4 linked regions of the Elephas maximus indicus genome follow. The protein of the gene in region 4 interacts with the protein of the main gene of each other region in a biochemical or structural test. Links are inferred from orthologs where the notes say so. Each region holds a gene or a part of one and is shown on either strand. Other genes may lie near its edges. The genes, in order: RXRA, THRA, TGS1 and NCOA6.

What was found.
Region 1: the proteins of NCOA6 (region 4) and RXRA form a complex in vitro, tested with the Homo sapiens proteins (5 studies listed by BioGRID). The link is inferred for Elephas maximus indicus from reciprocal best matches to the Homo sapiens genes NCOA6 and RXRA.
Region 2: the proteins of NCOA6 (region 4) and THRA form a complex in vitro, tested with the Homo sapiens proteins (2 studies listed by BioGRID). The link is inferred for Elephas maximus indicus from reciprocal best matches to the Homo sapiens genes NCOA6 and THRA.
Region 3: the proteins of NCOA6 (region 4) and TGS1 form a complex in vitro, tested with the Homo sapiens proteins (2 studies listed by BioGRID). The link is inferred for Elephas maximus indicus from reciprocal best matches to the Homo sapiens genes NCOA6 and TGS1.

The regions. Positions count from the first base shown.
Region 1 is NC_064827.1:4,206,820-4,214,039, reverse strand, and holds the start of RXRA (retinoic acid receptor RXR-alpha), read left to right. Parts: upstream 1-4,219; 5' UTR 4,220-5,346; coding exon 5,347-5,446; intron 5,447-7,220. UniProt on the Homo sapiens protein: Receptor for retinoic acid that acts as a transcription factor.
Region 2 is NC_064837.1:47,293,158-47,300,959, forward strand, and holds the start of THRA (thyroid hormone receptor alpha), read left to right. Parts: upstream 1-4,785; 5' UTR 4,786-5,006; intron 5,007-5,187; exon of another isoform or gene 5,188-5,353; intron 5,354-7,802. Other genes in the region: MED24 (mediator of RNA polymerase II transcription subunit 24), read right to left, coding at 1,306-1,406.
Region 3 is NC_064837.1:77,267,149-77,275,115, reverse strand, and holds the start of TGS1 (trimethylguanosine synthase), read left to right. Parts: upstream 1-4,966; 5' UTR 4,967-5,132; coding exon 5,133-5,236; intron 5,237-7,967. UniProt on the Homo sapiens protein: Catalyzes the 2 serial methylation steps for the conversion of the 7-monomethylguanosine (m(7)G) caps of snRNAs and snoRNAs to a 2,2,7-trimethylguanosine (m(2,2,7)G) cap structure.
Region 4 is NC_064843.1:34,635,869-34,643,328, forward strand, and holds the start of NCOA6 (nuclear receptor coactivator 6), read left to right. Parts: upstream 1-4,454; 5' UTR 4,455-4,657; intron 4,658-7,460. UniProt on the Homo sapiens protein: Nuclear receptor coactivator that directly binds nuclear receptors and stimulates the transcriptional activities in a hormone-dependent fashion. Coactivates expression in an agonist- and AF2-dependent manner.

The sequences.
Region 1 (7,220 bases), on a different chromosome or scaffold from region 4:
AGGGGGTGGTGTGTCTTGGTGTTTATCGTTTCTAAGCAAAAATGGAATACAGAGTTTCCGTTTCTGTCAAGGTTGGGCTGTCCTGTGAGGAGGGGGGATTGCCCCCACATTCCCTGCCTGTTTTTTGGGGGGAAGAAGGAGGCCTTTCCCCGGGGCTGGGCAGCTAGAGGAGAGGCTGCGGGTGCTGGATGCTGGGGACACTGGCTCTGCCACGCTTCTGCTCTCCGGGCAGCACTGGACCACTAGGAGGGCATTCTGAGGGGCTGGGGGATTCTGGGCCCCCCACAGGGTGTGTGTGGGGTTGGCCTTGTGCCTTTACCTCCACGTGTGCCAGCGTCTGTCTCGTTCATCTGTGCTGCTCCCGTTGTCCATTACCTGTGTCCCCACTAGTGTTGTGACACCAGCCCCCCTGCTGCCCGCTGTGGCCAAAGGGGCCAGACACAGGCTCTGCTCATCCCTGACAGCTGCCTCCCTCCTCTCTTCCTTCCTCCTCCTCTCCTGGAGTGCAGTCTGTAGTCAAGCAGCCACTGCTGACTGGCTTCATGTCTGTGAGCCCCCTGTTCCCTTTCTGTACAAGAGGGTGATGCCTACAACATGGAGTTGTTGAGAGAACTGAGGGGGTCTATTGTGAAGCGCCCAGCACAGGGCCTGGCGTGCCGTGGATATCAGAGAACCCCCCCCAGCCTGGTTGCCATTTGCTGGTGGGGCTGGGGCTCAGGGCATCTGCCTTCTTCCCTCCCTTGAGGCAGGGGCTTGGAGGTGGCTCTTCGAAGCTGAGAGGAACGAGGGGCCGGGCTGCTCAGCAGCCTGGTGCGGACCGTGTGGCCGAGGGAGACAGGACAGGTGCATTAGAGGAGGTGGCCTCTCTGGCGTTTGTGCACCCTGCTGCATCCCAGGCAGGCCCCTGCTGCTGGTCTTGAGCCCTGAGCTGGGCAGGCGCACAGGCCCTGGGCAGTCCCAGAGGGTACGTGTGGGGTGGCCTTGTGTGAGGTCTACCTGCAGCAGTGCATGAATCAGGGCTCGGTTCCCTGAACATCCCTGTAGGAGTGTGTCTGTGTATCAGTCCACCCACCTGTGTGGGCCTTGGGCCCTTAGGGTGGCCAAGGTGGTCACTCTGGGCGGGTCTTGGTGGGCACAGCACACACTGGCTTGGTTGCAGCCCTGATCAGACTAGCCCATCGATGTGGGGGGGGGGCGGTGCCCAGGGCATTGGTTTTCCCAGGGGGCATCCAGTTGACACTCCCTCTGAGCTCAGCACTTTCCTGGCGCCCTCCTCCCTGGGGTGGTGGGTGGGGTCAGCTGTCTTCCCATTTGCGCAGTGATGGGCAAGGCCTCAGGCTTTGGATGACTTGCTCAGCCCCGGGCTGATTCAGGATGGAGTTGGGGTCGGGACCGCAGCTTCGTGTGGTAGATTTTGGAGGGAGTGAGGAGCACCCCAATTCTTGTAGAGATTTTCATTTCTCCTGCCGGGAGCCTGCGGCCGCCTGCTGGTCTCGGGAGCCACGCCACTGCGTGTGGTGAGCAGGTTTCACCCCGAACTGTGTTTGGGGATTAGGCGGGAGCCCGGCAGGAAGCTGGCAGCCACAGAGCTGTGGGCAAGGCTGGGAGGCGGTCAAGAGCACGTTGAGGCCCGAGGCCACCCCGGCTGCTTCGGGAAGGGGTCTGTGCTCACTGTTGTCACAGGGAGGGGGCGTGTTCTCGACGGCATAGGCAGTGTGGGGCCCCGTAGGCGCTGCTGTGCTGTGGTTTTGCGCAGGGACCCGGCAGTTTAAGTCTCTGGAATATGGGGCTGGGGATTGAGGTTGCCTGCCCCTGTGGGGGACCCTTGGCCTGGAGGGGAATGTGGGTGCTTACTGGTTTGTTTGCGCAGAGCCAGGCTCTGGGTGGCCCACGGAGCTGCCCTCTGGGTGGATGCTGCCTAGTCAGAGCACCTGGTGCTGAGGGGCAGGGGCCCAGTGGGGGCTGTGGCCACCACAGGCCTGGTCAGTGGCTCTGGGTCACACGCCAGGGGGTGGGGAGCTCCGGTGGCTCTGGCAGGCAGCCTGGTCTTGGGGTTTGCTGAGGGAGGGGCGGCGACTCTTCATCCTCAGAGTGGCCCCAGCCCGGCCAGTGGTGGTCCTGCCCCATGGCAGCTCAGTCCCGCCTATGGCTGCAGAGGACCCTGGAGTGGCGCTGGGTGGGCTGGGCGGTCCTGGCTGTAACTTTGTTTCATTTCGTCCAGTCGGCTTGTCCTCCGTCCTGTGCGGAAAGAGAGGCCCAGCCCTATCTTGGGGTGGGGGCACCAGGAGCCCCTGCCTTTACTCCTGGCCAGGGAGGGTGGTGATGAGCTCTGAGAGCCTCTGCCGCCGTCTTCCAGTCAGTGAAGACACACAGCTATCCCCCGCTCCTCCCAGCGATATGGCTTCTGGGCTCTAGTTCCCGCCCTGAGGCCCACGATCCGCCTAGCCCTCCCACCCCCAGCTGGCGGCTCCCTTTAGGAGCACATGCACGAGGTAAGCCCCTCCTCAGTTCTCTCCTGTCCCTGGGGGCTCCTGAGGATGGTGTCCTGGCCTGTCTCCTTCACAGCACCTGCCCATTTTACAGGTGAGGAGACTGAGGCCCGAGACAGGCAGACACTGGCCTGAGGTCCTCAGGGTGTCCGTTCAGAGCAGAGGCCTGAGGCCCACTGGCTGACCTCCCTCCTGGGTGAAGCTCTGTCTTTCCGGAGGCCTCCCATGGGGAGGGGAAGTGGGCCTGGATTGAGAGTCCCAGCCTCCAGTTCAGCAGAGCCCACAGGCTGGCCAATGGCTTCTGCTTTGGTGACCAGAGAGGGTGCAGCAGGCTTTGTCTGTGCTCCAGGGCCATTTTCGGCTGCGGGGGCTCCAGCGCAGGGCCTGGTGTGAACTCAAGTGGTCTCTTGGGCCTTTCGAGGACTCCAGCCCTGTGGGGGCTGTGCAGCTGCTTTCTCAGTGCCCCCCACCCCCAAGGGCATTGCCTGGGCTCCCAGGTACCCTCTCCTGCTGCCCAGCGTCCTGAGCGGTCTGGCATTGCTGGCGCTGTCTGCTGTCAAGCCTGGGCAGGTGCGTGTTCAGAGGGCGGCCTGCCTGCCGGTATGGACGGGGGCGTCGTGCCGGCCCCATGAGTCATGCTTAGCCCAGGGAGGGGGTGGGTGGGGCGGGCTCCAGGCCGGCGTGCCGAGGCCTGTGTGTGGCCTGCCTGGGGCCTGGCTTGGGAACCTGGGGGCTGTACATGGGCACAGGGCGGCAGCTGGGGGCTGCCTGCTCTCCCCTGTGAAACAGAGGGCTGGATTGAGGGTTTCATGTCCTCAAGATCAGGTCTCTCCCTGCCCTTCGGTAAGCCGGGAGGAGGGTCTCAGGTTCCTGTCTGTGAGGTGGGGTGGGCAGGCTGGGTGGACTGGGGGTAGGAGCCCCTTGTACAGGCCCTACACCACTCAGAGCTCGCCCAGGCAGCCTGTGTCCCGGGGTCAGTTTAGAATGGCCAGGAGAGTTCAGCCAGGAGGCTGAGGGTGGGACGCAGATGGAGTGGTCAGAAGCTCGGCACCCAGGTTCCTTTTCTGGCAAGGGGAGTGCCTGAGGACCAGATAGGAGAGGGATTGTCCAGGGCCGATGGCCAGTGACCTGCCACTGTGGAGTATCTGCCACCCCTGCCCCGGCCTTGTTCTGTCCAAACTCCTGCTCCTGGGCAGCGTGGGAAAAGGAAACTGGCTGCCAGCCAGCTCCCCCAGGATCCGAGCACCTTCGGCCAAACCCTCACTCCAAGGCTGGGAAGGTCTGAGGCCAGAAGAGGGCCCTCTGGGGCTGCAGAGCTGCCAGATCAGGATCATGGAGCTTTGAGCCATAGGGGTCTCCCATGTGGCCAGTAGCCTCCACCTAGTGTGAGGTCTGCAAAGTGGAGGTTCCCCTTATCAGAGACAGCAGAGCCCTGATCTCAGGAGGGCCACCTGGAGGACTCGGGGGCTCCTTTTCTTGAGGACGGAGAGAGGTAGCCCGGGGCTCCCAAGGAGGTGGGCCAGCTGTGGCGGGGCTTAGAGGGTTCAGAGGCCTTGAAGTGAGACCAGGGGTGGGGCCAGTCTTGGAGCCCACAGTTGGGTGGGGGACGCAGACCCACAGAGGTGTATTGAGGGGAAGGGTGGGGGGGGTACTTGCCCACTGACACAAGTCTAAGGGGGTGGCAGATGAGATGTGGAATGATATTCTGAGGCGCCACAAATAGGAAAGGTGCCCGCCTGAGACAGCTGGACAAGGGGGGGAAGGTGTTTCCGCTATTAACGTCTGCTCATCTTGAATTGGCAACTTAAGAGATTGCCCCCGGGCACTTGTTACCCTCACCAGGCCCCTGCAGACCTGGCGCCTGCCACAGAGCTAGGGCTGGATGCGCTGAGAGTAGACTGCCTGCCAGCGGCAGGGAAGCCTTCCTCGAGGAAGCGTCCCTGGCGGGAGCCGAGAATAACCAAGGGAAGGACATGTTCGTGCTTTTTCTGAGGCTAGGACTTCGTCCGGCAGGGGCAGATGGCTACTCCCACACGCCGACCTCAGCTGATGTGCAGAACGGAGGGGTTGGCCCGGGCAGGCACCTGATGATGAGCGGGCAAGCAGCCAGTGGAGATCCCTGGCGGATTCAGAGGTTCTTCCGGCTGACAGGGCCTCCTGGCCTTGCCCATCTTTAGGGATTTTTTCCTGGTCAGCAGCTTCGAGGGGTGACACCGTGAATTAGTGGGGTACCCGGGTGTCCTCACCAGCCCAGCTACTGAGAAGCAGGCAGCTTCCTCACCTATTCTGGGTCCGGACACAGAGGTGCCCAGTGGTGGTTGGGCTGCGGCTATGCCTGGCACCTTTTTGTGCTCTGGGGTGGGGGTGACGAAAACGTGTCTGGGGCTTGCCCTTCGTCGTACGGTACATCCGTGTAGTGGTCAGTGGGGCTCTCCTGAGGTAGCCCCGGGCCTGTGGTCTCTCTGCTGAGGCTCCCAGCCCCCCTGCCGAGATAGGGCCAGAGGGATGGGGCAGCTGGCCAAGCTGAGGTGTGGAGGGGAACTGTGAGCTGGGCCTCATTTGCCTGCCCCCGCCCGTGCTGGGCCTACTCGTGCTGCTGGCTGAGGGTGTGAGGAAGGAAGCTGGGGGTGCTGTGTGTGTTTGCTGACTGGGCCCGGAGGGCTCCAGCCAGGGCGAGGCCCGGGGGAGGGCAGTGGGGGCTGCTGGGGGCCCGTAGGGCCTCCCAGGTCCAGGAGCCTGTGCTGAGGAGTCCAGAACAGTGCTGTGGCAGGGTCCAGGCGGCAGGAGAGAGGCCTGGCCTGCAGGCTGAGAGGAAAGGCAGGAGCCCTGGGAGTTCTCCCCAGGGCTGCCATCTTGGATGCTGCTGCCCTGGCGAGTGGACCCGACACAGGGGGCTGGATACCAGGAGCCCCTTGGGCTTGGGTGGGGCAGCAGGTCTGCGGACTCCGGGTCCTGGGGTAAGTGAAGGGTGCTTTCAGCTCACTGGTCTAGCTCTGTCCAGCCGAATGTGGGGAAACCAAGGCCTGGAGAGGGGCAGCTGATATAAGCTGGTGCACGTTTACCAGCTGGCCCTGGGGGTGGGGCTTCTCTGTGGTGTTGGCCGATTTCCGTGGTGGGAAGTCCCGTCACGGCCAATTTCAAGCCACCGACCTGACTCCCCTGAGTGTGGAGTTGCTGGGATACGTGCCTGAGAGTGGGCAGCTGGGATCCCGTGGGGAATGTGTCTCTGCCCATCCTCAGAGAGGCACATGCGTGCTTGTCACGATTCTGCACTGGGCCTGGGCTCTGTGCCTGCCACATTCTTGGCTCTTGCTGAATGTTGGGAGCACTCTGGTTGGGGGCCAGGAGGCATTAGGCCACGCCCAGGTGCAGGCTCAGACCCTCAGGGCTTGGTGTGACCTGCAGACAGGGCCTGTGTTTGTGCAGAGGTGGGGATGGGTGGGTGGGGGCTGGGAAGAGGAAGACGGCAATTGTGGAGGGTTGTTTTGTGGGGCCTGAGGCTGGTCCACACGGGTCTGAGGGGGTGGGTGGGCTGGGTGCCAGGCCCCTGGTCAGGACGAGCCCCATTCCCCCAGGGCTGGGTCGGCTGAAGAAGCTGCACAGTCCCCGGCCCGCCTGCTCCCTGTGAGGCTGAGGTTAAGCCTTGGGAGCCCTGAGGTCTTCTCTTCCCTGACCCCTGAGGACTCAGGGGTTTGTTTCCAGGTGATGTGGCTGGTTGGGCACGAATGAACCTATTGGGTGAGGTGAGCACCAAAAGGACTCCACAGGCACCTCCCCACTTCTGCCCCACCCAGGAGCACAGGCCCTCAGGCAGTTGAGGAGGATCTAGGGGTCATGGATGACCACCAGCCACAGCTGAGTTGGCTTGGCTTGCCTCTTGGGAATAAAGCTTTTGACTTGGGCTGGGCAAGGAGGAAGTAGGCTGGGCCCTGATCCTTGATCCAGGCAGGACTTGACCACACCCTCCTACCTGGGTGAGCTGGCCCAGGTGTGGTCCTGGGCCCTGAACCAGCCGTGGACGCAGCAGGGGAGGTCAAGGAGGAAATGGGGTCTGTCTGGCCAAGGTCTCGCCGAAATCGGCTTGGGGGGTTGTGTCATTGTTATGAAATACCACGTCCAGGGGACACAGAATCCAGGCCAAACGAAGATGCAGAAAAGGGCACACTCTTGCCCACCAGAACCGAAGCCTGTACCCGTTCACTCCGCAGTGTAACCCCTTGTCATTCCTGAACCCCACTCTGGGCAAGCTGAGCGTAGGTGCCTGCTCCATGTGGTGGGTGTGGGTTCCCAGCGGACTATGGTGAGCCAGGAGCTGTGCAGGTCTGCAGGGAACACGAGGGGGCCTAGGACAGCCGGGTGGGGAGAGGCCTGGGACTTGGGGATCTAGTGAGTTCCAGTGGTGTGTGCCTTTATAGGGGTGGGGGGCAACTGCCGCGGGTCCCACAGCCACTGGGGTTTCAGGTGTCAAGAGCAGTGTGAGCAGATGGTGGGTGCGTGCATGGCGCGGCCTGGATGGAGTGACCAGGGGCCTGGAGGGAGACCAAGGCCACGTGGCTGCTGAGTCCCAGGGGCTGTCGGCTTGGGCGTGAGGCTCTGTGCTCCTTCTCTGTAAGTTTTCTGGGAGCATGGACCCCTCCCAGTCCGCCCTGCTCCTCAAGCCCTGGGGCACTGGGGCAGCGCCAGCCGTGCCTCGTGAGACTGACAGCCACAGCTGAGTGCAGCCTGGGGGCT
Region 2 (7,802 bases), on a different chromosome or scaffold from region 4:
CTTGGAAACCCTATGGGTCAGTTCTGTTCTGTCTCTATGAGTTGGAATTGACTTGATGGTAATGGGTTTTGGTAGCTCTGGGCAAGAGTCATTTTCACTTTCTCTGCTTTGCCCTTCTGGCTCTCTAGTCTGTAAATATCAGAAGCCAGTCTTTCTCTACACCACCTCCCCAATATCTTCCTAGGGACCCTCTTCAGCTCTCTGACTAGATTCCACAAGGACTAGACTCCTTGATAATCATCCAGAGGGTGAGAGAAGAGATGCTGATATCCCCTTAGGGTATACAAGGAAATTCTCCCCTCAGTCCTGCCCAAAAATCCCACCTATTTACTCCACTTGCTTTTCTATCTATTTCTTCTGATTCAGCACAGATAGGGGCTGAGCTCCCCTGTCTGCTTTCCTAGCTCTGAGCCCCAATCTCTTCATCCTTTGGCTAGATTGGCTGGGGAAGGGGTCTGGCTGGAGAAGACAGGCAGATGGAAGCCAGTCAGGCAGTGACATGGCAACATTTGAAGCAGTGGCTAAAAAAGGAACTAGGCCAGAGTGGGTGATTGGGGTGGGTAAAGAGGTTGTGAGGAACAGAGTTTTGGGTACCCAAAGGGAAGGGTACACTTCTTACCTAGGCTAAGAAGGTGTATAAGGAAAAGTGGCAAGAGTCCAAATCTAAAAGCCCAGAAAGACTGAAATACTTGGCAAGCATACAAGACACAGAGGGTTTCAACTTCTTTCATTTCCATAGGGAAACTGAGTCATTACCCTCTCCTAACTGGGAGATCTTTCTTTGGAAGCTTGCCTGGGTCCCTCCACTATGGGGACTTAACTGGCAGCAGGTGGATGGGGAAAGAAAGAATGTCCATCCCACACACTCATACACAGCTGGCTCCAAACCAGTTCCCTTCCCCCTCCAGTTCCCAAATCAAAATCCCTGCTTTCTGTCTGGGAGAGGAGATGATGGGGGAGAGGCCTACAGGTGACCACACCTCAGGGACAGCTCATGGGTCCCCCACTGTTCCCAGTCTCTGTCTTCTCATTGCCCCCACAAGAGGTCCAGAAAGAGACTGGCTGAACAATGAAAAGCAGAATTTGAACCAACCTTTGGAATAGCTTCCTTTCTGACACCCTGGAGGATGCCTTTAGGAACAGAAGAGAAGTGCTAGAGTGGAAGAAAAGTACTGTGATCCTGAGCCCTGGACAGTGGCAGGGAAAGGAGGCCTGCCTGCTATTTCCTTTACACTAGGGCCTGAGAGCCACTCTGCCTTACATACTGTATACTCTGCCTGCCTCGACACAGACCCTCCCATTCACCTGCTGTGGGAAGGACGCAGGATGGTCAGCCCCAGGCTTGGATGGTAAAGCAGTCTGCCCCTCAGCTCCTTTCTTTTTTGGTAAAGGCAGTGATGAGGATGCTGTAAGGGAAAGTGAAACCAGAAGCTGGGAAAATCTGAGGGATCCAATACCTGACACATTAAATGGTGAAAATAATGTGTGTCAAATAAAATACAGTCTGGGGAAGGTGTCAGCTTCTTTTTCCACTTTTTACCTCAGTTACCAAAAGCAAGGCTCAGCCAGGCCTGAGTCCCTTCCCTAGCCCCCTCTTTTGCCACCCATAACCAGTCACCTGACGGGACAAAGGAGATTGATAGAGGTGAATTGAGTGGCCACTTTCCTCTTTTCTAAGAGCTTCGCTGTAACCAAAAGGTCAGCAGTTCAAATCCATCAGCTGCTCCTCAGGTCCTGTGGGGCAGTTCTACTCTGTCCTATGGGGTCACGATGAGTTGGAATTGACTAGATGGGAATGGGGGGGGAGGTTTGGTTTTTGGCTTACTCTTTTCAGAGTAATTACTCGTTAACTTCCCACAGTCTGCTCCTCCTCCCTGCCTCCCCCCCAGCTTTTCTTTCCTCCATTTTCCCTGTCTCTTCTTGACTGGGAGATCTCTAAGGGGAAGAGACACCTGGGGTTTAGGTTCTACGGTAGTGTTTCAGTTTCTTCTGCTGTCTTTCCAGTGTACCCCAATAAGTGGGGCTGTGTCTACAGAGCCAAGGGGTATCTCCACTGTATACCTTATCACTTGCTGATATCACCCAGAGCCTAAGAGGTTGATATGAGGGACAAGAATCACCAAGGCTGGGACCACAGAGCTGGTTCCAAGGCAGGCTGGCAAAGGCTTGCTCCCAAAAAAACTGCTTGGGGGTGTGCGAGGCTTCTTGACAGGGGTAGAGGATGCTGTGTAAGATCATGGCTGCTAGGTTTTTGGAGGAAGCTGTTCAGAAAGATATCTGGAGTCTCTGGTCCCTAGGAACGGAACCCTCCAGAAATCTTAGGGTGCTTCCTAGCAACAGTCTGGGAGAAAGGGGGGAGGGAAGGAAGGAGAAAGAGAGAGGGAGGGACTGAGCATGGCTTTTCCGATGGGAGCCAGAGAACAGGCTGTTCCTGCTGCCTCCTTGGCAACGGAAATCTAAGAGAGAGCAGGCTGCCAGACAAATCCCCTTGGAGGGTCCTTATCCATCCTCACTTGTGACCCACCCTCCCTCTCTCCCTACAGACTCAGGGCTTGATATGAAGCAGAGGTGGGGGGATGGAAGGGGACAGTGCCAACACAGCCCAGGTGGGGGTTTTGTAGCCAGGAGGAATGGAAGCCAGGGATGAACTGAATCCAAGAAGAGCTGGAAGCTTCAAGAAACAGGGGTGGATAGGGTAAGTGGGGTGGGAAGAGGGATGGCCCAAAACAGGGGCAAGGGCTGTAAGGCCAGGCCTGGGCTAGATCCTGGCACCTGGCAAGATGTCTGCTGCTTTGGAGCCAGTATGCCCTTCACTTTGCCCTTGCCCAGGTCCGTCACCAGCTCATATTGGGAACCAAGAGAGGGAGAGAGATAAGAAGATGGAAAGGGGAAACTCTTCTCTTTGAGTTCAAGGTGCCTCATTCTCCCTCTGGGCCTCATCACCCCTGCCCCAATCTAGATTACTCTGGGCCTGTCTATCCCCTCCTGGTTCTGCCAGGCTCACTGCAGACTACCAGTGTATCTCATGGGCCAAATCCTCAGGCAGCCCAGTCTTATGGGGCGATTTCCATAGTGGGTGGGACACACACCCTGAGTGCTGCTCATTGCAGACTTATTCTCCAGGATTTCAGCCAAAGCTGATCACTGAGGTGGCAGTGACTCGCAGACAGCCACCCTCAGTGCACCTCGCACTGCACACTGCACGCTGCAGCCTCCAGCCCCACACTGCAGCTGTCACGTGTCCACTGTGAGCCCAGACTGAACCTGTATGTTCACTCACTCTGTGTTGTCTCTGCATACCACAGCTGCCACTGCATGCACACTGCAGGCTCCTGTCATGCATTGCACAGCCCTCATCACTGCCATCCACTCTGCACCCCATGGCTGCCACCCCAGCCGCCTTTCTCGTTGCCATGGCCCCAGGGGCCCTGAGAAAGGCACCTTCCTCTCCCCCATGAATTGTGAACCCCAGTCCCCCTTGTAAGAGAAGTGGCTCTGACAGAGCTGAGGATGCAGGTGGCTGAGACTAAGATGATTAAGGGCAGCCTGACTTGCTGAGCAACAGAACCCCACCAGAGCCAGTTAGAATCCCACACTCAGAAAGTGATTCTGCCCAGTACAAACTGGGCTATGAACACAAAGGCTCCTCCTGACACACACACACACACACCTCCACAAGAGCAGGCTGTGAAGATGGAGCCCCACCCTAGGAGATGTGGGAAGGCTGTGGCCCCCGCTGGTAAAACTGGGCTAATGACAGCAGGGGAACTGGTGGGGCGGGGGGGTGGGGTGGGGAGTGGGTGCTAGGGTAATTAGAGCTCTGCCTGGTGCTGGGAGATCCTGAGATGAAAGGGGCTCTGGCGTCACTGGGATGGTTTTATGTCCATGAATGCAGGTGTGTATGTGTGTGTGCATGGGGGGTGGGGTTAGCACAATGGAGACCTCCCTTTTGGGAAAGGGGGTCCGTTTTTATACAGCCCACCCTCCTCCTTAGAATGGCCCTGGTACCTTTGGGTTTTAGTGGGGGCAAACATGGGAGAAAATGCCATCCCTGTCAAACTGGGAGTTGAGGGGGTATGGCAAGTTTGGCCCCTCCCCGAGCTCAGCGGGGTCAGATTGTTGGGGAAAAGGCTGGTGACAGTGAGATATAAAGAGCGTATTTTAGAAAAGGGTGACATTTCAAAGGGGAGGCTGCTGATCAGTAACGTTAGAAATGAGAGGGGAGGGAGGTAATGGGGAATGAGCTGATAACCCCTAAAAGGATGACTGAAGTTAAAAGAACCTCAGGGGTCACCTGCCCAACCCTCTCATTTGAGGTTGAAAAAGCTGAGCCCTGAGAGCGGTGGTGATTTGCTCAAGGTCACACAGTGAGGTACTGGCAGAGAAGGGACCCGAACTCTGAAATGAACTCGAAACCTCCAGGCGTTTGGTATTTAGGCTTTTCCCCCCTATTTAGGAGGTGCAGGAGGCCCGTTGGCACTCTCTCCCAGGCCCCCCCCCGCCCCCATGGTGCAAACCGAAAACCCCGAACTGCCCAAGCAAAGGCTATTTTTTAAAAGACATCTTTTCCAAAATCTGTCAGCAAGTACCACTCCTGCAGGAGCCGCCTGAGCAGGGAGGGCGCATCTGAGAGGGCGGGGGCCGAGGCGGCCGAGGGGCGGCCGGGCGCTGGCGGGGGTCCCGGGGCGCGGCGGGGGGCGGGAGGCGGGGGCCCGCGGCGGCGCGGCGGCCTGCAGGGAGCAGCCGCGAGCCGGCCGGGCGCGCCGAGCCCGAGCCCCAGCCGGAGCGGGGCGGGGGAGGGAGGAGCCAGAGCGGCCGCCGCCTCTGCTGGAGGAGCCGCGGGGCCGCCACACTCGCCCCCCGCCCCCCCCCCGCGCTCACTCGCACTCACACCCGGGCGCAGGAGGCGGGCGGCCGGGCCCCACTGGCCCCCCATGGACGCCCCCGGCTCGGGGCGCTGAGACCTCCTGGTCGCTGCCCAGCCCGGTCCAGCGCGCCACGCCGAGGTAAGGGGGAGGGAGCGAGGGGGCATTAATATGCAAATGTATCGCGATTGATTATGCAAAGCTGCGGGGCTCTAAGGCTAGCTCCTAGGCGGTCTGGGGGCGCCCAGGGGATCCGGTTGCCAGCCACCGCCTTTCCCGGCGCCCCAGTTACCCTGTCATAGCCCGGGCGCTTGCAACTTACGCCCTGGGGAATGGAGGTGTTGCTGGGAGGTCGGTGGGCCCCGGGGTTCGCCGGTGGAGATGGCGTCCGGGCCTCCCCCTCTAGGGCCCGCCCGGCCTCTGTCCGGCCAGTCTGCTGCGCATTCCCGGGTCGGGCCGGGCTGCTGGCCGGCCGGAGCTCCCCCGCCCGCCGCGCCGCTGTTTGTTTACGGTGCGCCGGAGGCCTGCCCCCCCCAGCCCCCACCCCTAGCCTCCGAGGCCGAGTGGCCATTGCAAAGCTGCCTCCGGCTGCGGAGGGCAGTGGGAGTGCGGTGGGGGGGCGGGGGGTGGCCTTGCACGGGCGCGGGGAGAGGGAAGTTCCCCCTCCCACTCCACCCGCCTCTCCAATTGAGCATGGTTCTCTGGTTGCAACACTCCTAATTGCAAAAACGCGACTCGGGGGGGAAAGTGTGTGTGGGGGGTTTGTGGTCGAGGGTCCCTAGGAGATTAGAAGCGTGGCAGGTTGGGATGGCTGGGGAAGAGAGGGAGCAAAGGACTTGTGTGTATTCTCCCTCCTTGCTTTCTGCTCCTTGCAATGGGTCTCTGATGCCCCTTCTCTGTCTGGAGCCTCCCTTGTCCATGTGGAAGAAGAGGCCTGCGCGGGGGGGGGGGGGGGCAGATGATAGGGACAATGGAGAGAGCCACCTGCTTCAGGGGTGGGGTGGGGGCACAGAAGAAAAGCCAATGCTGGCTGGAGGGGGAGGGGATGAAGGGGGCTGTTGTCCTAGATGAGGGGGGCAGCGAATGTGACATGCAGACACAGAAATATGCCCACACAGACAGCCACATGCACACCCAGGGACACCCAGGCAGATTCAAGGACAGGAGCTGCTGGACACACCCACACGGGGACAAGAGAAGGGGCAGGCTGCCGCTGCACTGTGGAGCTCAGAGGGGTAGGACACACCCACGGGAGACCAAGAGCAGGGAGAGCGACCCATGAACATACCCACGCACAGGGTAACACAGAGATACTGTCACACTCAGGGGCAAGGAGGAGTCACTGTCACAAGCATGCATGCACACAGAGCGTTGCACACAGCTGCACAATTACAAAAGACCCCGTCACTCACAGGCACACATGTGCTCACATAACCCCAGTCACACAGACATCATCTCCCGCCGTGACAGCCGCTGTCACAGAAATGCAGTTACACATCAACACATGTACACAACTTAGCAACAAGTATTTTCCTGGATTCTTACTGTGTGGCTCTGGGGTTCTGTATACAGCAAAACTCCTGCTCCTAAGAAAATTAAATTCACCTTTGTGAAAAGACTTTCTTGCATCATGGTACAAGGAGGCAGGCATTCAGGATAACACGTCTTCAGTCTCTATTGATTGTCTCCTACCACCCTCCTAGCTCCTTGAGACCTGGGGGAATCACTTCAACAGCTCTGGTTACCACCCAGAGCCTAGCACAAGAAGTCCTGTAAATATGTGTTAATTGACTGTGGGAACTGCAGACACAGGTGCACTCATTTGCACAGTCCCACCGGCTCAGGTGCAGACCCAATTCACAAGCCCAGGCCCACACAGTCTCAGGTCCACCCTGACAGTCGTGTCCAGACAACCCCAGATGCACACACTGCAGCCCATGCAGTCAGACACACACCTGGATACCCACAAAATCACAGGCTTTTTTCTCCTGAAACTTCCTTCTATGTCTTCTTTCCTTCTTCCTCTAGGATCAGCCACTGAGTTTTAAGGGAATGGACTCTTTTTTTTTTTTGGAGGGACTGAGAAACAAGAGCAAAGAGAGTAGGGGCAGGGAGGTTCCAGAGGGCCCAGTCTTGGGTCTGAAGCAGTGCCCAGTGACTTCTAGCAGCTGGGATTGTCCTGAGTGCTGGGGGAGGGGGTGTCTTGGGGAGAGCTGGCTCCTAGGGAGTGGTCCTCATCCCCACCCTAAAAGCAAACTGGGGGATCTAGCTGCCCCTGCTGTGGATTATATGCCTGGGCCTTTCCTGGGGACGCACCCTAGCCCCCAGCTGAGTTCCTGCCTCCCACCATGAGTTGGGCCCCTTTTCCCACCTCGGCCCTTCTGTCCAAACTTGGAAGCTTTCCTTAGGAGGCCGTATGCTGTTGAGTGTCTGGGTGAGTGATGTGTATTTTTGACTTGGAATTTGTAACTCTCTCTCTCTTTCTGTTGCTCAGTCTTGCTGCGCCTGATTCTCCCTCTCTCTCTGTCTTTCTCTGCCAGTCTGGAACACTCTCTCACCCTGTCACTACCCCATCCTTGTCTCTGTTTCTGCCACAGCCTCCTCTCTCAGAGCTGGGAACTGGCGGTGATGTTCTTCATACTTTTCCAGTTGTTAATACTCAAACTCCGCCCCTGCGCCCCGCCTGCCCTGCCTCTGGGGTCAAGTAGAGGTTGGGGTGGGGGGTGGGGGGCTCAGCTGGCTGCTCAGGACATCCTGCGCTTCCTTAATGCTACAGCTGTGGCTGGCCAGTTTGGGGGGGCTGGGAATGGGAAGGAGGGAGGTCAGCTGCTGCCCATGCTGACCCCTCAGCTGGGGGGCTCAGCCAGGGGACACCAGCTCTGTGGAAGCCCTTGGTTTGTAGCCTGCAGCTAGCTAGGTCCCAAACAAGCCAGTAGG
Region 3 (7,967 bases), on a different chromosome or scaffold from region 4:
TATGAGCCCATTCTTGGAGCCACTGTGTCCATCCATCTCATTAAGAGTCTTCCTCCTTTCGTTTACCCTCAGCTTTATCAAGCATGATGTCCTTCTCCAGGGACTAGTTCCTCTTGATAACGTGTCCAAAGTACTTCAGACGAAGTCTCACTACCCTCGCTTCTAAGGAGCATTCTGGCTGTACTTCTTCCAAGACAGATTTGTTTGTTCTTCTGGCTGTTCATGGTATGCTCAATATTGCTGACCAACACCATAATTCAAATGCATCAATTCTTCTTTGGTCTTCCTTATTCACTGTCCAGCTTTCTCATCCATATGAGACAAGTGAAAATACCAATGGCTTGGGTCAGGTGCACCTTAAGGCCTCAAAGTGACATCTTTCTTTTTAACACTTTGAAGAGGTCTTTTGCAGCAAATTTGCACAGTGCAATACATTGTTTGATTTCTTGACTGCTGCTTCCATGGGCACTGATTGTGGATCCAAGTAAAATGAAATCCTTGACAGCTTCAATCTTTTCTCCATTTATCATGACGCTGCTCATTGGTTCACTTGTCAGGATTTCTGTTTTCTTTAGGTTGAGGTGTAATCCATATTAAAGACTGTAGTCTTTGATCTTCATCAGTAACTGCTTCAAGTCCTCTTCACTTTCAGCAAGCAAGCTTGTATCATCTGCATGTCACAGGTTGTTAAAGGGTTTTCCTACAATCCTGATATCGTGTTCTTCTTCATATACTCCAGTGTCTCAGATTATGCGCTCAGCATACAGACTGATTAAGTATGGTGGAAGGATACAACACTGACAAACACCTTTCTTGATTTTAAATCACGCAGTAGTCCCTTGTTCTGCTCGAACAACTGCTTCTTGGTCTATGTATGGATTCTGCATGAGCACAATTAACTGTTCCAGAATTCCAATTCTGTGTGACATTATCCATGACTATGCCCTTGCATAGTCAATAAAACACAGGTAAACATCTTTCTCTTATTCTCTGCTCTCAGCCAAAATCCATCTGACATCAGCAATGACATCCCTCATTCCATGTTTTCTTCTGAATGCATCACGAATTCCAGGCAGTTCCCTGTCAATATACTGCTGCACCCGTTTCTGAATTATCTTCAGCATAATTTGACTTGCATGTGATATTAACGATATTGCTCAACAATTTCTGCGTTCCTTTGGATAACCTTTCTTTGCGATGGGCACGAAAATGGATCTCTTCCAGTCAGTGGGCTGACCCGTAATTGAAAATTACCGGTAATTGTAATGCAAAAGTTGGAAACAAAGAGGGAGGATCCGTAGTTGGAAAGTATGGCCTTGGTGACAGAAACAACTCCACAGAGAATTTTGCAAGACTAACGACTCATTCACTGGAATACCTTTTTTCAACAACAAAACCGGCAACTATACACGTAGACTTTGCTGGATGGAATACGCAGGAATCAAACTGACTGCATGTGTGGAAAGAGACGATGGATAAGCTCAGCATCATCAGTCAGAACAAGGTCAGGGGCTGACTACAGAACGGACCATCAATTGCTCATATGCTAGTTCAAGCTAAAGAAAATTAAAACAAGTCCACAAAAGCCAAAGTGCAACCTTGTGTATATCCCACCTGCATTTAGAGACCATCTCAATGAAGATTTACTGAGCCACTGCGTAACATACTATGTATCAAGCATTTTCCAAACACAGCAGTAAATAAAAATCCATGACCTCACGCGGCTCACGTTCTAGAAGGGGAAGACCGACAATAAACAAAGAAACGAGTAAATATATACTACGTGGAAAGACAGAAACTATGGGGAAAGATAAACAGCAGGGGGCATGTCCTTGACCAGGCAAGAAAGGAAATGTTACAGTGTACACAAAAGCGGGTGGTCCAAAGAAGACCTACATCACTGGGTCATTCATTCATTCATTCAACATATTTACTGAGCAAACACTTTATGCCAGACACTATTCTAGGCACTGGGATATTTGGTAAGCAAAACAGGCTGTTAAGTTTAAAAATATATACATACTTGGAATAATGCCTGGCGTGCAGTGAGTAGGCACTCAACAAATAAATGCTGGCTAGTATATGAACTGTGCTCATCCAAAATTTTTGACAAAAATGTGGACCAGGACAGTGTCCTAAAACTTGCCACTGGAGAGCTTTGAGAGGAGTTTGAATATCATGCTTTTGAGCTGATAAAATAATTTTCTTTGAATAATTTGAGAAAGGGGCTTTACAACTCAATGAGCGCAACTTCTGAATTTTGCAGAAAACAAAATTTAAACACAGAAAGCCAAGCAGACCTGCCAAAGTCACAACACTAGTTAAATGAGGACCCAAATTTAAATCCAGTTCTCCTAATTCCTAGCCTAGTTTCCATCACTCGTTCTTTAATTTTTCTTAACAGAAAGGTTGAAAATATGAAGACTGTAATTTCTGTCTTCTACTTCTGCCCAGCCTTTCTGCCCTCCAATTTATCACAAGCTGTACTTGACTCCTTACCACCGCCTTTAAGTCAATAAAAACTGTAATTGTTAAAAGACGTGTTCTGAGAGATATATATTTTAGTTACCAAAATTCCAGGTTATTATTACCACATACACAAAAGAGAAAAAAAAAACCTACAGTAAAACACAGTCCTATAATCACCTGGGAAGTATCATTTTTCCTTTTTGGAATTCATGCAACTTTAATTTGTAAGAAAAGGATGACAAGCTGAAATATCAATAACTGATATTGATGGTGAAGTACATTTTCTATAATTAACCTTACAGGAATTTTTTAAAAAACTAATTTTTGTTTTGTTTTCTATGAAACTTTAAGGGAATGTATCTACTTTTAAACACCCAATACCAGTACTATTACCACTATGGATGGTAGCAGATATTCATTCCTTACTTTTTGTGTAACAGCCACATTGCGAACACTCTGAAAACGTCAATCTAAAAAAATACTCAGTGAACTACAAATTAATTTTTCCTTTTCTGTATGTTTAAAATGGTTTAACACGGGTCTAGTCCTCAGTTTTAGCAAATAAGCATCCTACCATGAGGAACAGTGAAGTTTCCCTAATACTTCAGTCAAGATACCTGGCAAACCCAACCCATTTACCATATAAAATCCACTGCTGTTAGTGGGCATCTTCTTAAAATGCCTTTTAGATTTCCAGCTTCAAACTCTAGATCTGATATGAATTGCCTTTTGAGTAGAATCCCCTTTAACTTCTAGTTAAAATCTTCTATTTGATTACTATCCTATCATTATTATTTTACTAACCTAGCCACTCATCAAAAAACACACACAAAAAAGTTGCACATTTATATAGGTGTATTTTAGAAGCCCTGGTAACACAATAGTAAAGTGCTTGGCTGCTTACCAAAAAGGTCAGCTGCTCGAATCCATCAATGACTCAAGCAGGAGAAAAGACCCGGAGATCTGATCTGCTCCCATAAACATTAACAACAACAAATCAAACCCGTTGCCCTTAAGTTGATCCTGACTCACCTCAATCCTACAGGACAGAGTACAACTGCCCCATAGGGTTCCCAAGGAACAGCTGGTGGATTCCAGCTCTTATTCCACCAGCTTTTAGGAAACCCTATGGGGCAGCTGTACTCTGTTCTATATGGTTGCTCTGAGTCAGATGCAACTCAAAGGCATACAACATCTGTAACTTTGCAGCATTCTTACACTCCTGAGTCACCGAGGTCGGCCTATCTCTGACATCAAAGCAGAAGTAAGAGCCATGGGAATAAACATTTTATTTTAAATTTAATCTATTTCCACCCATATTTTGTCCGCACTAGTAAATGCGGCCAAAATATTGGTGATCGTTCTAAACGTCTGGATTTTATTTCAGTTTTTTATAGTTCTAAAGAAATACCAATGCTCGTAGTCATTAACAGTACAACGCACCAACACCACCAGGCCCGGACTTGCTTCCTGGAGGAAGCTGCCTGGGCAGTCAGCGACCACCACACACCTTCTTCAAGCCCAGCAGCGCTGCTCCGGTCTCCTCTACCCTACTTACGTGCCCATCTACCATTCTTTTGGGATTAGTAGCGGCTGGACCTGCTTTACTGGGCGCAAACCGCCGCGACGAGCCCCTCCCAGCCGCTGGGCGGGAGAACACTGGCAGCCTGCTTCCCTAAGGACTCACAGCCTTGGAAACCCTGTGGGGCAGTTCTCCTCTGTCCATACGGTCACTCGGGGTGGGAATGGACTGGATGGCAACGAGTTTCTGGTGCGAAGTTTGACATCCATTGTCTCACTCAGCCCTTTCAACAGCCCTATGACACAGGTATAAGAGAAATCATGCCCGTTTTACAGATTATCAACACGAGGCTCAGGCAGGTGAAGTCGCTTGCCCAGGTGCACAGCCACCACAGGGTCATAACCCGGGTCCCAAGGATGCAAACGCTCCCAGCCACTTCCTAAGACCCATCTCTGAACTCTCGTTATCCTCACATAATTTCCTTCAGCTTTTACACAGAGCAGGCTCGAAAAGGGTCTGCTGGGCAAGCCCAGAGGCCTCCAGCCAGGGAGGAGAAGCCTCTCCTTATCCCCTAGGTTTCGACGAGACACGCCAAACTGGAAGGTTCTGAGCGCGCGGGAAGATGCGGGGCGAGAGGAGAGCGAGCCCAGGTAGGACCTCCCGCCTGGGTCACGGAGGAGCCGGAGCTGCGGGGGCCGCGCGCGCGGCCTTCCCCGCTCCCCGCCGGGCCAGACGGCACGCGCCCGGACACCGGGCGGGGAGCAGCGCGGAAAGGCCCAGGCAGAGCTGCGACGCACCTCGGGCGGGTGGGAGCGAGCGGCGGCGAGAGCTTTCTGATGTTCCCACCGCTGAATGAAGCTCGGATACTTGAGGTGCGGGCACATCTGTGAGAAGGAAGCCAATGGCCGCCGCTGCCCGGGCCGCGTTTCCTGGTACACCCCCGCGGCCCCGCCCCTTCCCGTGCCGCCCCTGCCACTTCCGTCGGCGGCCCGGCTGCTACCTTGCGCGAGCGGCCCGGGCGCGTTCCTAACCACGGGTCTGCAGGGCAGGCGAGGCGGGGGAGGCTTTCTGCGCGTCCCTGGTAACCGAGCGGAGCCCCGGCCCGTGCCATGTGTGACAGGGCTGCCTCTGAGGAGATAAAATGTGCTGCGAAAAGTGGAGCCGCGTGGCCGAAATGTATCTCTTCCCTGAAGACCTGGAGGAGGATTATAGGATCCGCTGTCTCTGCTCCAGGGCGTTTGTGGAGTAAGTAAGAGCGGGTTTCTCCTTATTGCTAGTACGACCATTTCTGAGAAATGTAGCTGTTGCAAACGTGGTTCTCATTGATCCCTGAAACCACGGCCAGAGTATTTGACGCTCGGGCAAGATAATGTTTAAGAAAAAGGAAAAACGGGTCCCCAGGCGTGATACCAAGTGGTCACTTTCTGCCGTTATTAGTACGTGAAGGACTAAACCTACTTCGAAAGCTCTTAGGAAAAAATGTGCTAGCTAACGTGTGTCGTTTCATGTCTATAAACTGAGAACCAAAAACCCAGTGCCGTCGAGTCCATTCCGACTCCCAGCGACCCTATAGGACAGGGTAGAACTGACTTCTAGAGTTTCCAAGGAGCGCCTCGCGGATTCGAACTGCGACCTCTTGGGTAACAGCCGTAGCATTTAGCCACTACGCCACCAGGGTTTCCTTATAAACTGAGGACACATTTAAATTTTGGGGGAAAGTGGAATACAAAATGTGGTCTCTTTAGTGGATGTGATGTCACAAGGTATAGCTTTAAAGTTGGATACTTGTTTTGGTCAACATCTTTTTAAAAATGTTAAGACACATTAAAGCTGAAATGTACGTAATTAGAACTAATGATTATATAAGATAAAATGTTTAGCTATATTTGCATCAGTTTTTGAGATATCTTTATCTTTGGAAAATGTTTCTATCAGGCAAAAATTGTCCAGCATGGAAGATAGCTAGTGTATGGGAAAAAGCTAACTAGAGAATTGGATTCTAGGAATGATTTTCTCAATGTTATATCTGTGACTTAAATTACTTAAACCTTTATTCATTTCTAAAACATGCATATTTGCCCTAATTATCTCACATGCTTATTGAGAGAATCAAATCCTGTGGGAATGAATTTTGTGTAATAGCCTTTTGATATGTTGAATGTAGTAAATTTAAATTGGAAGAGATTATTTACATCAATACGGAATTTTAAAATATTTTCCTATGCCTGAAGTATAATCACAGTACTGACAGTGCCCTACTTCCCTGTCGCTGAAATATTTGTTTTAACTATCAGTCATGTTTTGTGAAGTAATCTGAAAATTAGCCCAAAAAGAAACTAAACTTTTTGTTAAACTTGATGTAAAAAGTAGGTCTTTTCAAAACAAAACCTGTTTTTGTATTCATGCATTCATTAGATGAATGCTTATTGTGTTAGCAACCCTGACAGGCCCTGGGATAACAGAACAGCCCGTCCCTACACCCATTTTGTTGACTTTCTCAGAAAGGAGATCAATATTTAGACAACTATTTAAATAATCACTCAGTTAATTATTTTATAAGTGGTATGGGAGGATGCGGAAACCCTGGTGGTGTAGTGGTTAAGTGCTACAGCTGCTAATCAAAGGGTCAGCAGTTCGAATCCACCAGGCGCTCCTTGGAAACGCTGTGGGGCAGTTCTACTCTGTCCTATAGGGTCGCTATGAGTCAGAATAGACTCGATGGCACTGGGTTTGGTTTGGTTTCATGCTATAACAACCTAGTCTTTATCTAAGGGTCACAGAGGTTTCTTTGAGGAAGTATCATTTGAATAGAGGTCTAAAGTTTGAGTGGAAATAAACTGAGGAGGCACCTCAGAAGACAGGCCTCATGAACTTCAGGGGTCGGGGTGGGGTGGAAGTCAGCCTTTGAAAATGCTGCAGAGCCCGGTTCTACTCGGACACACATGGGGTTGCCATGAGCCAGGGTCAGCTTAGGACAACTAGTAACTAATAATTATGTGTGGGAGGAAACGTGTCCAAAGGAGAAACTCTATTTAAGCCCCTTGGAGGATCAAAAGAAAGCCAGCAAAACTGAAATACAGTGACTGGGAAGGAAAGGTAGGAGATAGGATTGGTGAGGTAGGCAGGATCAAAACATGCAGGACTCTGTAGACTATAGGAAGACTTTAAGGTAGGGAGTGACATGATCACATTTGCACTTTGAAAAGATTACTCTGGTAGCAGAATGGAGAATGTTTTCAAGGAAAACCTTTTAAGACCATCGTCCAGGCAAGAGATTATGATGGCTTGGATTAGGATCAATGGCAGTGGAAATAGAGACTGGGGAAAAGATAGGTGAGAAATGGTCGGGGTTGGCAAATTGGATTGGATGGGGCAGTGAAGGATGGGAAGGAGGAGACTGGGTCGAGTATAACTACCTGGTTTCTGGCTTATACTGTTGCTTGTCACTGAGCCAGAGACCCCTGGGGATCATGATTTTTATGTTGGGACGGCACTGAGTAGGTCATGAGTTTGATTTTGTACGTACTGATCTTGAGATACCTTGGAGTCCCTGGGTGGTACATATGTTAATGCACCCAAATGGTTAGAGGTTCAGGTCCACCTGGGGGTGCCTGGGAAGAAAGACCAGCAATCTGCTTCCAAAAAATCAGCCATTAAAAACTCTGGAGTGCATTTCTACTCTGACACACATGGGGTTGCCATGAGTTGGAATCCACTCAGTGGCAACTCATTTATGAGATATCCAAGAGTAGATGTTATAGGTAGTTGGATACATCGGTTTAGAGCTCTAGAGACAGCTGAGCTTGTCATAAGAGCTTAAGCGATCCATTTTTAAATAGTACTTGAAACCATCAATTTAGTGCCAGTGAGAGAGGGGGAAGGGTGGAATCCATCCTTGAGGAAGAGAAGAGGTGCATTAACTGGGGACAGAGAGAGATAGAAGGGAAGCCCAGGGCATACACTGTCATAACGTGTT
Region 4 (7,460 bases):
CTAGGGCTGGGGTAGTGGAAGAAGAGAGGTCTGACGGTTAAGGGTATGAGGTTTCTTTTTGAGGTGATGAAAATATGCTCTGAAATTGACTATGGTGGTGGTTGCTTATATCTGTGACTATACTAAAACCATTTGAATTGTGTACTTTAAATGGGTGAATTGTATACTTTAAATGTGTATTATATATATCAATAAAGCTGCTTTAAAAAATACACAGAATTTGGCATTATCAGCTAAAACCCTGGTGGGGTAGTGGTTAAAATGCTTGGCCGCTAACCAAAAGGTCGGCTGTTTGAACCCACCAGTTGTTTCATGGGAGAAAGTTGTGGCGGTCTGCTTTTGTAATGATTACAGTCTAGGAAAACCTATGGGGCAGGTCTACCCTGTCCTATAGGATCACTATGAGTTGGAATCCACTTAATGGCAATGGGTATGGCAGCTACAGCTGAATACAAGCCAATTCTATGACCCCAGTCCTAGGTATATAACCAATAGAACATTGTACATATGTTTACCCAAAGATATGTACAAGAATGTTCAAAAAAAAAAAAAAGAATGTTCATAATAGTACTATTAAAAATAGCCCTAAAGGAAAAACCTAAATGCCCACCAGTGGTAGAACGGATAAATTATAGGATATTCAAACAGTGAAATGCTATGCAGCAATGAAAATAACACACTACAACTACATGCAAAAATATAGATGAATCTCGAAAACATAAAATTGAGCAAAGGAGCCAAAAAGAGTGCATTCTGTATGAATCCATTTATATATATGTGTGTGTGTATATATATATATATATATACACACACACATATATATATATGTATATATATATACACACACACATATATAAAGTTTAAAACTTGGCAAACCTAATCTATGGATTCAGGATGCTGCTCTCAGGGTGGTAATGAGGGGAAGGGAAACTATGGGATTTCTGGGGGCCTGGTAATGGCTCAGTGGTTAAGAGTTCAGCTGCTAATGAAAGGGTCTGCAGTTCCAGTTCACCAGCCACTCCTTGGAAACCCTGTGGGATAGTTCTAATCTGTCCTGTACGGTTGCTATGAGTTGGAATTGATAGCAATGCGTTTGGTTTGGCTTTTGGTAATGTTCTGTTTCTTGATTTAGATGCTGGTTGCACAGGTTTGTTCAATTTGTGAAAATTCATCAGCTTTACACATGCTCATACGAACTAAGCCTTTATGCAAAGTACAAAGAGTGTACATTATTTCCCTTTGAAAATTATGAGCGTATTTTGTAATAACAAGGCACTTACTGCCATCTGCTGGTAAATTAACACAACAGATTTACAAACCTACAATGTCTATAATGGGAATAGCGCCCACTTAGATGTGGTTTCCTCTTGCAGGGCACAATTTCCCGAATTGCATATGGTAACCCTGTTTGGTTTTGTTGTGATGAGCCCTGCAGAGAGTAGAATGTTGGTGCGTTCTGGGTTGGTTTGTCCTTTTTTTTTTCCCCATGTTCGTTGTTACTTGTTCTTCTGAAAAACATCATTCACGTAGTCACTATCAATTTTATCACTTCAAAGCTTAATGTACATATGAAAATAGAAGTTCAATAAATGCTCATTTGAATAAATTGCTCATATCAAAGAACAATGGATTTGCTTTTTATTTACCCAAGTCTGATTCCGGAACAAGAAGCTGGGCATCTTAGGACTACTTTTTGCTCAAAACACTCTGTGAAACAGCCTAAAAATGTATTCAGAGGTTTGTGTTCATCTGCTGCATGTTGAGGCCATCATCTGTGCTAGACACCCTTCTAGACATTCTTATGTAACAATTCATTTAGTTCTCCTGAGGACCTTATGAGATAGGAGCCCTTATTATCTGCATCTTACAGATAACACAACTAAGGCACAAAAAAGGTAAGTGATATTACAAGTGATGGTTATTCAAAAAGAGCTTCCTTGGGGGAACTTACAGTCTATTTGGGACACAAAACAAAATAAATGAAACAAAGAAAATGCTTTGGACCCTGTCAAACAAAAAAAAAAACCAAACCTGTTGCCGTTGAGTCGATTCCAACTCATAGTGACCCTAAAGGGCAGAGTAGAACTGACCCTGTTAGGCAAGTCATTTATCTCCTTGTGCTCTCATTTTCTCATCTGTAAAACAAGGAGATTGGATTTGCTCAATATCACATAGCTAATAAATGGCAGAGCTAGAACCTGAACTTGGGCATTCTGGCTTCAGAGTCCAAGCTTGTAATCATTACGCACACTGTCTGCCAGTTCATGGTCTGTTCTTGTTCCTTTGTTGCCTTCCTGTGGGGCTGTGGACCCTGTTTATGCTGCTATTTTCACTTCCAGGATGTGTAGGCAACCAAGTTGGCACCTCTGTCCTCAACTCCTTGTTTCCTTGCTGATCCCGGGAAAACCAATGACCCTTGGCTTAAGGAAATGGATAAGAAAGTGAAAAGTAAGGACAGTGGCTCAGGTTGTGGAATTTTTCAGAGCTTTCTTACCTTCAAAAGCTTTTGTGGGGCTCAGAGGTCTGTGGATGATGTCATTTCAGCCTCTGGGCTGGCTGCTGGCAGGACCCCTGTCTAAATAGGATCAAGTGACCAGAGTTTCTCGTTCAGTCTTTCAGATTAACTAATCAGTCAAGCAACACATTAATTGTATCATTATCCAAATAGTCACTCTTTAGCTCTGTCAGATTTCCAGGCTAACACAAAACAGTACGTACTATACAGTTCTGTTTATGTGAAGTTCAAGAACTGTCAAAGTTAATTTACGGTGCTAGAAGTCAGAGTAGTGGTTACCTTTGGGGAATCAGGTATTGACTGGGAGGGGACGTTCTGGAAGTGACAGAAGGGAACCCTTTGGGCTGTTAGAGATGTTCTATAACTTGATCTGAGAGGTGTTAACACAGGAACATAGCTAAAAATTTATTAGGTATAAAGTTAAGATTTTTGCATTTTGCTGCATATAAATTATACCTCAATTTTTCAAAAGTTTCAAAAAAATAATGTCCAGCCTCTTGCAAAGTCCTTCGGTGTTAATTTTATAGCTGCACTGTTGTTCTCTTTGCTTTTCTCTGTCCTTTTGGACTCAGCACCTAGTATAGTGCACAGGATCCATACATACAGCAAATATTGATTGAGCGCCTACTCTGTGCCAGGCATTGTGTTACATGCTGAGGGAACAGCGGTGAACAAGGGAGTCCACATTCTAGTGGCAATAAACCACCTAGTCTGTTCTATCAAGGATAAGTGCATGCTGCTAAGGGGGCCTGTCTGGGGGGGATGGCCAGGGAAGGCGTTCTTGGGGTAGTGACATTTGAGTTTGGATCTGAAGGCTAAGGGGGGCAGAGCATTTCAGGCAGAGAATGAGCATGTGCAAGGGTGCTGAGGAGGGAGGGATTACAATGTGTAAAGAATTGGGAAGAAGACCATTGTGGTTGCAGCCCAGAGATGGAAGAGGGCCTGAGATGCACCTGGAGAGGTGGGGAAGACAACAGTAAGACATTGATTTGGTCTTTATCTCAAGAGCAACATGAAGCTGTCAAATAGTTTCAAATAGGGGACTAACATAATCAGATTTCTGACTTAGAAATGTTACTCTGACAGCAGAGTGGAGAATAGATTGGAGAGGGTGCAGGGAGCATGTGAAAAGGCTGTAAGTGGGTACTACACTAGTCCGAGCACATAGTGTGTGCTCAATAAATACCTGTGAATGAAAGGGCTCCCGACTTCTTTTCTAAGATGAGACCAGGACACCTATAAGCAGTTTACAATCCATCTGCTCATCTTCTATCTTCTGTGATGCTCATAAGAGACTCTTTACTTCCATTTTACAGATGAAGAAACTGAGGTTCAGAGAGGCAAAAAAAATCACACAGCTATCAAGAGGGAAAGGCAGATCTGAATTCAGAGCTGTATGACATCAAGTCCAGTGCTGGGGGGTCCTCCCCACATTTGAGAGGGGAGGGGGCCACACGCACTTGTTCACTAAAGGGATATATTTATTGAGCACCTACAGAGCTTGCTAGTGTGGTGGTTATGAGAAAAAGTAGAGAGGAGCTTACAGACAAATAATGATAAAGGCTGTTATCTTCGTTACGCTCCAGGCCCTGTGCCAAGTGCTTTCCATGCTTTTCCCATTTCCTCTTGTCAATCGCAACTACTATCCCCGTACTTCAGATGAGGAAACTGAGGCATGGAGAGGTGAGTTACCCAAGGACACCCAGCCAGAGCGCTCCCGCTGTGTTGTGCAGTGGTTAGAAGTCGGGGCAGGAGCCACTGGTGAGATCACGGAGCAGAGAAACTGACACAAATCCATGCCATCCCAGCACTAAATGCTCTGCACCCACGTGAGCGGGCGCGCGCCCCTCGCGCTCCCGGGGACGTTTGGTCACGTGGACAGGGCCCCGCCCCTCTGGTCCGCCCCGCCCCCTCCCGCGCTCCCTCCCTCCCTCCCCCTCCCTCACCGGCCCGGTCCGGCCCATCCCCCTCCCCGCCGGCTCCCTGAGGCCCTGGCGGGTCGGGCTGCGGGCGGCCGGGAGCAGACGGCCGGACAGACGGGCGCACGCGAGGACGGACGGACGGACGCACGGAGGGCTGCGGGCACGCACGGCCCGGGCCGGCTCTCCGAGGCCCGCCCGGGAGGGCCGGAGCGGCGCTCAGGTGAGGCGACGGCGACGCGGGCCCGTAAGGGGTGGGCCCGCCGGGCGTCCGCGATCTCGGCCCGGCTGGCTCCGCGGGAAGGAAGTGCCGCTCGGGCCCGGCGCGGGAAAATGGCGCCGGCCGACCGTGGAGCGCGGCCCGAGTACGGGCCGGGCCCGGAGCCGCCCCGCCCGCCGGGCTGGTGTCCCCGTCGCCATGTTGGGGAGCGGGCCCCAGGCCTGCGGGCGGGGGCGCCGACGGGAGCGGGGGCTTGGCCGGGGGTGGGGGGGTTGTGGGTCGCCGGGTCTGGAGCCCCGAGGGAGTGCAGGGCCGGGCCGGGGTCTGCACGGCGTGGCGCTCGGGGCCCAGGGAACTGGCGGGAGCCGGACGTGGGGTCGTGGCCGGGGTCGCGAAGAAGGGACACTGGGTCCGAATGGAACCGTGGCCGGAGTCTACTGAGTTAGGTGGGGGCAGGACCTGAAGCCGAGTTGGGCCATGGGCGGTGTTCAGGACCCCAGTACAGGTTCGACCCGGGGGACGTGGGGGCCTAGCTCAAGCTGTCAAGGCTAGGACAGTTCTCCAGGTGGGTTTGATTAGAAACGGGGGACCTTCGGGTTCAGACGGAGGTATTGGATTGGGCAGCCCTCGGAGTCCTGGCGCTGAATTGCAAGTTTTTATAACCCCCAAGGGACTGAAGACTTATGTACCCCAGGGTTCTTCACCCTTCATTGGCGAGAGCACCAGAAAAAGGGAAGGGTTTGATGAGGAAGAGAGAAGAAGGGGCTGAGGTTTGAGTGAAGGAGCTGGCCAGCAAAAGGGGTGCCGAGTGGAGCTGTTGGCAAGGAGAGAGCAAGCCTCCATCAATTTAGGGAGTTTGTCTGTGTCTTTAAAAGGAGGAACCAGGCTGTTTGGGGGCGGTGACCCAAGGTGTCTTCCCAGGAAAGGGACAGCCCACTGCTTAAAAGCAGGGTCACCTAGGGAGGTCGTCGGAAACGCATTTATCGAAGCCAGTAAGCTTGGTAAAAAGGAGTGAATCCTGTAATGGTTTCAGATTATGTAGTGATTTTAGGTGAGACATAGAAAGGTAAAGTTGATTTCCCAAGATCTTAGAAGCAGTGGCAGAGGGGATTCCAGAACTCAGGTTTGCTGCCTTCTCATTCATCACGCTGCCTTAAAAGCATGTGGTAGCTGGGAGAAAAATGTTAAGTAAAGAATGGCAGTATGTATCAGAAAACTATTAATGAATTGGTTTTATAATGCGTTGTCAGTGCAGAGGGTGGGGGGGGAATACCAAAAAGTATAGGTAACCAGCTATTTGTTATTAGCTCACTTCCATTTATGCAAAAAAGTTATCTTCAAGACCCTTTTGACCTCTAACTTCTTATAATTTTTAGAAATGATCCTTCTCTTTTAGTGGTTGGAGCTGACTCGACAGCAGTGGGTTTGGTTTTATACCGTAAATGGACACAAAAAGCCTAAAAAGATAACAGTAAACAATGGTAGAGACCCAGAATCTCTGTCATGATCAAATGTTAGTCGAAGTTTGATCATAATAGAAAGGAGTTCAAAGTTCAGATGGGCTGTGGTAGAGTTCTCAGGGAAACTATGCAAATTGGTCATGATGTGGTAGGCCCAGAGCCCCCATAAAATTAAAAAGATTAAGAGAGCATTTATAACAGTAAAATTTTCATTATTGTATGTATATACAGCAACGCAGTTCATTTATTCTGGGTCTTTTTAATACAGGGGTGTCATGGGCCCCTTAGCATCTGATGAAGCCTATGGACTCCTCTCAGAATAATATTTTTAATTGTATAAAATAAAATAATATAGGATTACAGAGGAAACCAATTATATTGAAATAGTTATTAAAATATTACAAACTGTGATATAGTAATGTATATACTTTAGCAGCACGTTAAAAAGATCTAGTCAAAGAACTAAATGATGTCCGGCTGTTTAACTCATGACTGCCCTGACAGGGAACATAACAGAGAACCCCTGAGGGAACGGGAGAGCGGTGGGATGCGGACCCCGAATTCTCATAAAAAGACCAGACTTAGTGGTCTGACTGAGACTAGAAGGACCCTGGTGGTCATGGCCCCCAGACCTTCTGTTGGCCCAGGACAGGAACCATTCCCGAAGCCAACTCTTCAGACATGGATTGGACTGGACAACGGGTTGGAGAGGGATGCTGGTGAGGAGTGAGCTTCTTGGATCAGGACACTTGAGACTCTGTTGGCGTCTCCTGCTTGGAGGGGAGATGAGAGGGTAGAGGGGGATAGAAGCTGGTGAAATAGACACGAAAAGAGAGAGTGGAGGGAGAGAGCGGGTTGTCTCATTAGGGGGAGCGTAATTGGGAGTATGTAGCAAGGTGTACATAAGTTTTTATGTGAGAGACTGACTTGGTTTGTAAACTTTCACTTAAAGCACAATAAAAATTACAAAAAAAAATTAAACACAAAAAGATCTAGTGAAGGGTCTGATTATTTTAATTTCAAAGAAATGAGTATAAGTAATATTTTTAGATATCTATAACTACTGAAATATATAAAGGTATCTGTGATGTTTGTATTGACAGAGTCATAGGTGCTGCTAATAGTACAATGATTTTTTGTCTACACTTATGTTTGAAGAAAATGGTAACTTCAGTTGGAGTTCAGTGAAAATAACACAAGTTCACGGACTCCCTGAATTCTCTCTATGAGCTCTTGTCTCTAAACCTCACGTTAAGAAGCCTACTATGATTCCCACTACCAGGCATATCTTCCATTCAACAGTTATTTATTGTGTGCCAAGACATCTGGTGTGTCAAGCACAGTGC